Tamandua tetradactyla: one gene and its partner. The protein of the gene in region 1 purifies or fractionates together with the protein of each later gene. This does not show direct contact. Links are inferred from orthologs where the notes say so. Each region holds a gene or a part of one and is shown on either strand. Other genes may lie near its edges. The genes, in order: SMARCA1 and POLE3.

Region 1 (3,914 bases):
ATAAAATTCTAGCAAATTTGATAATCTGGCTTCCCATACCACAGAGAATAAAAGCAACAGCAAATTATGTGGGTGAGATTACTAGAAGGCACACTTTGTCAATGGGAAAAAGGAATGGCAAAAGCTCAGTACTGAAATCTGTGTTCCACTATAATAGCATCCCCTAATCCTCAGTGTTCAGGTTCAGGTGTTGATTATTTCCCTCTCCTGCTTCATCTTTTGAATTCATGTATTTCTCTGCTGTTTCAAATGATTTTATGGTTTTGCTTCATCTATGTCCCTTATCATATATTAACAAATTATTTCTGATAAAAGTAGGTGAGGTGTTTCAAAAGCAACAACCTGACAATTGAAGGAGGGGACAGAAAAACGATTTAAAAATCAATACCATACTAGAACGGTGTGGGAGGTGGTTAGTTAATTTAGGGGGAAAAACCTCCTAGTCCTCAGTTAACTTTTTATCATTGTCCGAATGCAACAACTTATGGTCATGAGGGAAAGGTTAATCTGTACTTTTAGTACACTACTTAAGGAGTCAAGGAAATATACAATATATTTAGATTTTCAAGGAGAAAGTTAAAAATAAAAAGATATTGGGCCTAAAATAGTAAACTTCCAACACCTCATTCCTCTATGCTGAGTAGATAAATGAAGTACCATCAGGGTAATTTCTGATGAAGGCTGCAAGAGTTCATGAATATCTGTATTATCTCAGTGCTTATTATATATATAGTAGTTTTTTTATTGATTCCCAGTCTTTTCACAATTCGAAAATGTGCATACAACCTGAAGATTCGACAACCTCTACTACCACAGAAAAGACAGCTTAGCACTTGACATTTGTTCAGTTTGGGGAATGAATAAAAGACATCTTTAGAATAAAGGCATTTCTGAATTTCCCAACATTTGATCTATACTGATGTGTGGTATCTGGCCCAGCTTCAATCATCAACATTGTCTTATTGATAGAAGTACCGCACAAATCTAAAAACGCACGTTTTCTACGTTGTTCACTTAGCACCACGACTGTTTTTCTGTTTACTCAACCCTGTAACAGTAAAAAATATCACTTCAGCAACCGCCGAATTTAAAATTACTCTTCTAATTCAAGGCTAAAGGTGTTAATTTCCCTCAAAAGCTTTTCATTTGGTTGTATAGCATTTAATGATTCAGACAAAGCCACTTGCGATCTCTAAGGCATAATTTTAATTACCTACCATTTTTATTGCAATATACTCATAAATGGAAAACAAACTCATAAATAGAAAACAAATCCACCCGTAAACGATCCATTCTACAATCTACTTATACATCAAAAATCCATATGCCCCCATCCTATGTTTTTTCTTTTAATCTCAATTTTCAACGCATTTCATATGAATATACATTACAGAGATAATACATGTTTTCTGAATCTGGCTTTAAATAGGCGCCAGAGCGGTCTCCAGTTATGTTAGCAGCAGCTCATCCTGGCGACGCCTGGTTAAAAAAAGGGGGTGAGGGGGGGTCCTGCGTGTGTCCACGAGCCAGCATCGCCCACTAGGAGAGAGAGGCGGAGGCCTGGAAGACTTGGGGCCCGACTGGGAGACCATTTGGGTGGCCCTGGAGTGAAACACTATACCGTTGGGGGCGGAGCAGGAGGGGGTGGGGGTGCAGACATTGGAAATTTTCCTAAACCAGCGTCCACGGTTCCTCCGTTTGGGGGTTGGCTTGGAGAGTACAACGCGGAGAACTCGTTTTCTTGGGGTGACACCCCTGCCTCAGCCGTCGGGGACCGAACGAACAAGGGATGATTTTTTTTCTTTTTCTTTTTCTGCCATCCAAAGGGCCGACATTGCCAATCCGAGAAATACATTTCTTCCCTATTATCCTCCGCCCCTCCCCCAACCACCAACACCTTCAAATTCAAATAAAAATTAAGACCCAGCAAACCACCCCCCCCCCTTTTTTTTTTTGCACGAGTGTGGGATTGAAGGGCCGAGATTTCCCAGGCAGAGGCCGACGGGAAGGTGGGGGGAGAAGGAGCGAGCGAGTTGAGAGGGCGAGGCGGAGGCGGAGGCTTTTTTCTGCACAGCCCCATCCCCCCCCACTCTGTTACCCCAGTTGCGGGAATGTGAAGGGGTCTGGGGGCTGTCCAGGGGCTCCCAAGTCCCCAAGCCCCGGGATAACGGGCGCCCCTCCACCGGGCGCTGCACCCCGCCCCCGCCCTCCAGCGGCGAGAAGGGAAGGGGGAAGGGAGCGAACGCTAGTCTGTTCCGCCGCGGCGCCCACCCGGCCCGCGGGCCCCGGCCGGGAGAGCTCCACGGGTACCTGTCGGCACCGAAAGGTCAGGATTTGGGCCCCTTGGAGGCGGCAGGCACAGGATTTGTTCACCAAACACACACCCCTTCCTATTTACCTCCTTCTTCTTCACGCCCTTCTCAGTGGACGCGGTGGCTTCGGTGGCCGCGGCGACCGCTCCCTCGTCCTTAGAAGTGGATGGCCTCGGCTGCTCGTCCTCATTGCCCACGACTGTGGCGGTCGCATCAGCGGTTGCCACGGTGGCTGCTACAGCAGCGGTGTCCGGCTCCATGGCGCTGGAGCAGGGACGGGGAGGGGGGCGGCGAAGGGGACGAGGGCTCCTGGGCGGCGGCAGTGGCTGCTCTGGAAAGCGCTAGACGAAGCAGGACTGGGCAAATCACTCGGCTTCCAACCCCTTTGCTCGACCCCCCTTCTTTAAATAACCCTCAACCCTGCCCCACTTCCGTCCACCCACCATACGTCATGCCCTACCCCCCCCCGTCACCCTCCCCCCTTCCTCCACACACACCCCCCTCAACGATCGCGAGACTCCCCCTCCCCACCCAGAGCCCGGGCAGGCCCCGCTCAACCAACTGTTGCCTGAGCGTGGTGTGCTGCGCTGACAGGGTTGGAGGCGGGAACCGAGAGCCCACCACCCCCTAAAAATCTTCTTTCCCAAACGCCCCCAACAGACAGCTGAACTCCCCTCGCACATGTATGCAAAAGGAATCCTCTTTCCCTCAAATCTGCTCTTTGTACCTCCAGGCGTTCTCCCTCCCTGCTACCAAGAACTTTTCCTCTGCTTATAACTGTACTGTGAAAGGTTTTCTCACCAGTTGCAAAACTCAGAGCCCCTCTGGAGGCTGACTTTTCCCTAGTCCCTAAACGGAGATGAGTGGTGCAATTCCCACCTTCCTAAATTCTGCAAAAGAACCATTCCTTGAATCTTTTGATTGCAGCTACAAATATTCACTTACAAGGCGACGTCTGTCGGGGGCGGGTGTGTGTGTATGTATGTTTTATTTTAAACTCTGGTATCCTCGGACGGCCAGGGTGCAGAAGCCCTTTTTTTTGCCTTCACCACTGAATTTTAAAACTCCTAGGGGCCAAGAGCAAAGTCCCACAGAATCTGGGATAGCACATGATAAGTACCTAAAACTTGTATTTGGATTGAATTACTGTAATTCTTTTGGAAGGGTTGCGTGTTCTATGTGCACCACCGTAATTATTTAGTAGGAATTCAACAATAATATATATGATCATAGATATGAAAGCATTTTGTAAAAGGTGCAACACTACATGAACATAGCTTTAAATATTATTATTACTATATCTCCTTGCCATTTATTTTGATCTGTAATGGGAAAACTTACATCCTAGCTTTCAAATTTCAGACATTAAGGACAAAAGATAATAAAACATATAGTAAACAGTATGCCAATCAATCACTACAAAATCCACAACTTCCACAATGAAGCAAATACTTTCCAAAGTGAAAAAAAACCATGATTAAACTCCCTCAACATACTTCCCTAAATTACCAGTCTGAAATGATGTGTGATTGCTGCAAACAGCAAGAAATCACACAACTGCCCCCCAAATGTATCCCTTTTTCCCTAGGGGTAATACCCTAA
Region 2 (3,914 bases), on another chromosome or scaffold:
AGTGCTATAACCATGTGGACAGTTCCTCGCCAGGTCCTATAGTCTCTAACTGAAGCAATTTCAGTTGTCATTTATCATTGTGTTTGCTCTGCCGGTTTTCTCATAATAGGAAAACTCTCCTCTGTACCCTCGTCTCTGTCAAAAGCATAATAACAAAAAACCCGACTTGAGAGGATAGCATGCTTCACCAAATAATAATAAGCAAGCATTAGTTCTCACTGAGAGTGAGATCTATTTCTACGTTTTTTAACAGGAAACCTTAAATTTCATGTTTAAGAAAATTAAAGATAAAATTTAAACCGCCACTATAAAACCATGGTAATGTTCTTGACTGGGAAAATGTACGATGAACAATTTAATGTACTAAAGAACCAATACAATTTTAACAGGTTTTATTTTCGAATGCTAAATGCCATGTTGCATCTTCATCACACCCAGTTGCTTCACACCCTTTGGTTACCTGCCCACCCTGAACTGAGCCCCCGAGGTCTAACCATACCCATCTCTCTGCCATCAACACTAGCGCTGTGCCGACAAAGTGGTTGGCGCTCAGGAAAGCCTAGATAACAATGATCATTAATATGATTATTACAAAATTGCGCGAAGTGAAAAAATTAAAGATAAACGTCAGCTACGGTAAAGTTGGGAAAATACCCTCCGCTTCGTTTCGGGAAAAGGAAGCGGCCTTCGGAGGCCTGGCTCCGCTGGCCCAAAGCCGATGCCTAGCCGCTAAGAGCCCGAAACTCGGTGGAATAACGCAGTACGGCGCCGGGCGTGGGTAGGCCCCGCCCAGGAGGCTGGGTTCACAACTTTTCCTCCCGCGCCAGCCCCCCGGTCGGGCCGTCGCCAGGCAGCGGCGCGGAGAACTATGGGGAACGGACGGAAGCCTCAATGACCCATCCTCAATTTGGTGTGAAACCTCCAGACTCGGTGATGGTGTGAAACAGAGAAACAGAACAGGGGAGGAGGGCGCAGGGCACTATGGGGCCTGCCGGTAGGTCCGGCGAGCCCAAATGACTGCAGAGAGAAACTTTCGGAAGCTACGGCGACCTGACATGGAGGCGTGGCTGGGGTAAGTGGGTGGGTATGACGCGCAGAGCACTATGGGATACAATGTGGACCGTGTGGGGCGGAACGGAAGCCTGGGTGGGTCAGACAGCAGGGACGCGGGAAGCCTGGACGCAGTAGCACCCTGAGGAAAACTGAGGTGGAGGCGCGGGCCCCTGCGGCGGCCATGGCGGAGAGGCCTGAGGACCTAAACCTGCCCAACGCTGTCATCACCAGAATCATCAAGGAGGCGGTGAGCGGGCGGGCCGGGGCGGACGAGCGGGAAGGAGGGAAACAGGTCTGGGCTAGCATCTTTGCTCACTTCTCCCTTCTCACAGCTCCCGGAAGGTGTCAACATCTCCAAGGAGGCCCGGAGCGCCATCTCCCGCGCTGCCAGCGTCTTCGTACTATACGCCACGTCGTGGTGAGCAGAAAGAGCTAGCCAGAGTACAGCTAGTGCTGAGGCATTTAGGGAGATGCAGAGAGACCCCCCTGGCTCAGATTTAGCGTCCCGGCGCCCATAAACCCCAATGCTTGGGTGCTACCTGTGAACCTGGACAGAGGTTCACGACCCTTACCCAGTTCTCACAATCTCTTAAATAACTTCGCATTAGCCGTTTGGTACAGGGAAGGGAGAAACAAAAAGTCATGCATCTTTAACGTAGGTTTCCTCACTCACTTCAGGGTGCTCGTTTTCCACCCACTTCATGCGTGGCAAGAGGGGGTCTGACAGCTCATTTTCTTCCTGTCCTCCGTTAGTGCAAACAATTTTGCTATGAAAGGGAAGCGCAAGACACTGAACGCCAGTGACGTGCTCTCGGCCATGGAAGAGATGGAGTTCCAGCGGTTCATTACTCCCCTAAAAGAAGCTCTGGAAGGTAATGACCCTTCCTTTTTTCAGCCTCTTAGAAGATGATCATCCATGGCCCTGAGGCTTTCTCAGCAAGGGTACCTTTTAAGTCCAGCAAGGGAATACTGGATGTGACTTGGAACCAGTTCAGTTGGCACCATCTCAGATCTGTTTTGTGATGTTGGGCGGGTTATTTTTCCTTCAGTGCCTCAGCTTTTCCAGCTGTGGAATGGAGTTAGCAGCCGAAGTCTGGTTTACTCTTCCAAACCTACCTCTTAACCGCCTCCTTCCTCCTTGCAGCCTATAGGCGGGAACAGAAAGGCAAGAAGGAAGCTTCAGAGCAAAAGAAGAAGGACAGAGACAAAAAGACAGATTCAGAAGAGCAAGACAAGAGCAGGGATGAGGACAACGATGAAGATGAGGAAAGACTGGAAGAAGAAGAGCAGAATGAAGAGGAGGAGGTGGACAACTGAAAGGGGTGGGGAGATGGAGGCACCTTGGAAGGTACCATGCTGAAACTGTGGTACATGTTTATGTGAAGCTTCTCCCTGCTGGGCAGAGTACTCTTAGGCTGAAGTGCCTAAGAAAATTGAAATAAAACTGACTAGAATTATCATTAAAACCAGGGCTTCCTAGACTCAGAGCATCTTAGTATCAGAATCCTGTTTTGTTTAATCAGTCTGAAGGTTATGACTTTTTTGACAAGGGGAATTCTGACCAGCTAATTGAATTAGCCAATTTGATCTCTCATGTTTAGTTATATACATGGTTAGGCCATTTTTGATCCTCATTTCCTCCTCCAGAAACAAAGTAATGATAACTTCCTTGCTGCTTGCTGTGTTCCAAATCACAGAGGTAGTTGAAGCTCAGGAAATCTTTGGGCTTTGAGTATGATAAGCCTATGTTTGAGATACAGTATTTGGCAATACCAACTTATTAAGAGGGATCAGAATGGTGTGACTTTAGGAGACTAAAAAAAATGGGAGAAAAATGAAACTGGTTCTGTTGTTTCTTCATTTGACAGTAGCATTAGTTGATTCTTAGTTTCTACAGACTCACTTGGCTTGGAGCCTTTTTGCATTGCCTATAGGCATTCGACTTACTGGGTTGGCTGTACTCTGGACATATATGCTTTCAAATTAGCAGTATAGAGGATAATTAACCAAGCTAGGGTGCCAGTGTCTTATTCTTAGCACAATAGATGGCTTAGTTTAGGTTACACCTCACTGCCTGCCACTATACAACTTGAGGATTTCTCTTCACCACCTGGAAGGTGTAAAATTCCAGCCTTTCTCTTACAGTCTATTCCCAGACTTGTGACTATGCCTTTCATTCTTTAATTCATGACAAGTTCCAAACTTCATCTCCTCTAGGTACAACTTTCTTCCTCTGTTTCTTTTTTCTTTCTCTGTCTCTCTTTCTCTATCTCTCCTCCATTTACCATTTCCATGTTCTCTCTCCCTCCTTTTCTCGCATTTTCTCCAATTTTGGAACTTTGATAACCTGCTTAATATCCAGAAGTGCAGGTTCCTCTGATTCCTTAGTTCTAATTTCATGTCTTTTAAAAATGATTTTGTAAAACCTCTCTGAACCTTAAAGAAAATCTGATGGTGCTCAGGAATCTAATTCCCCCCCCTCAAAGCGTCTCCTTTTAACTACTTTTTTTTTCCTTTTAACTACTTTTAAAGTATCTCTGTTGGTCTTTCTTAGCTTTTTTCTCTTTCCCTTCAGTGCCCCAAGCACTTTTTTGTTTGTCTCTGACTTGAATGCTTAGAGTTTGATGGGTAGTGAAGTGTAGGTTGGCATTGTTAAATGAATATAGTAAAAGGTTTCTTGATAAATGAGTGAAGAGTCTTGAAAAAATTATAATGCATTGTATAAATAAAATAAGGTTCTTATTAAAAGTAATGACTTCTGTTTCATCCTGCTTGTTTTTCAAAGTGTGCTTTTGGCAACCCACTGAACATGCCACATACAGTTCTGGCATGTGGGCTGGGTCAGACCTTTGTAAACATGG

Evidence for each region.
Region 2: the proteins of SMARCA1 (region 1) and POLE3 purify together in Homo sapiens (affinity purification with mass spectrometry; 3 studies listed by BioGRID and IntAct, with this or other methods). This does not show direct contact. The link is inferred for Tamandua tetradactyla from reciprocal best matches to the Homo sapiens genes SMARCA1 and POLE3.

Annotation. Positions count from the first base shown.
Region 1 is NC_135353.1:34,167,533-34,171,446, reverse strand, and holds the start of SMARCA1 (SWI/SNF-related matrix-associated actin-dependent regulator of chromatin subfamily A member 1), read right to left. Parts: upstream 2,767-3,914; 5' UTR 2,573-2,766; coding exon 2,399-2,572; intron 1-2,398.
Region 2 is NC_135328.1:33,732,618-33,736,531, forward strand, and holds POLE3 (DNA polymerase epsilon subunit 3), read left to right. Parts: upstream 1-1,102; 5' UTR 1,103-1,234; coding exon 1,235-1,300; intron 1,301-1,385; coding exon 1,386-1,471; intron 1,472-1,806; coding exon 1,807-1,925; intron 1,926-2,197; coding exon 2,198-2,370; 3' UTR 2,371-3,801; downstream 3,802-3,914. UniProt on the Homo sapiens protein: Accessory component of the DNA polymerase epsilon complex. Participates in DNA repair and in chromosomal DNA replication.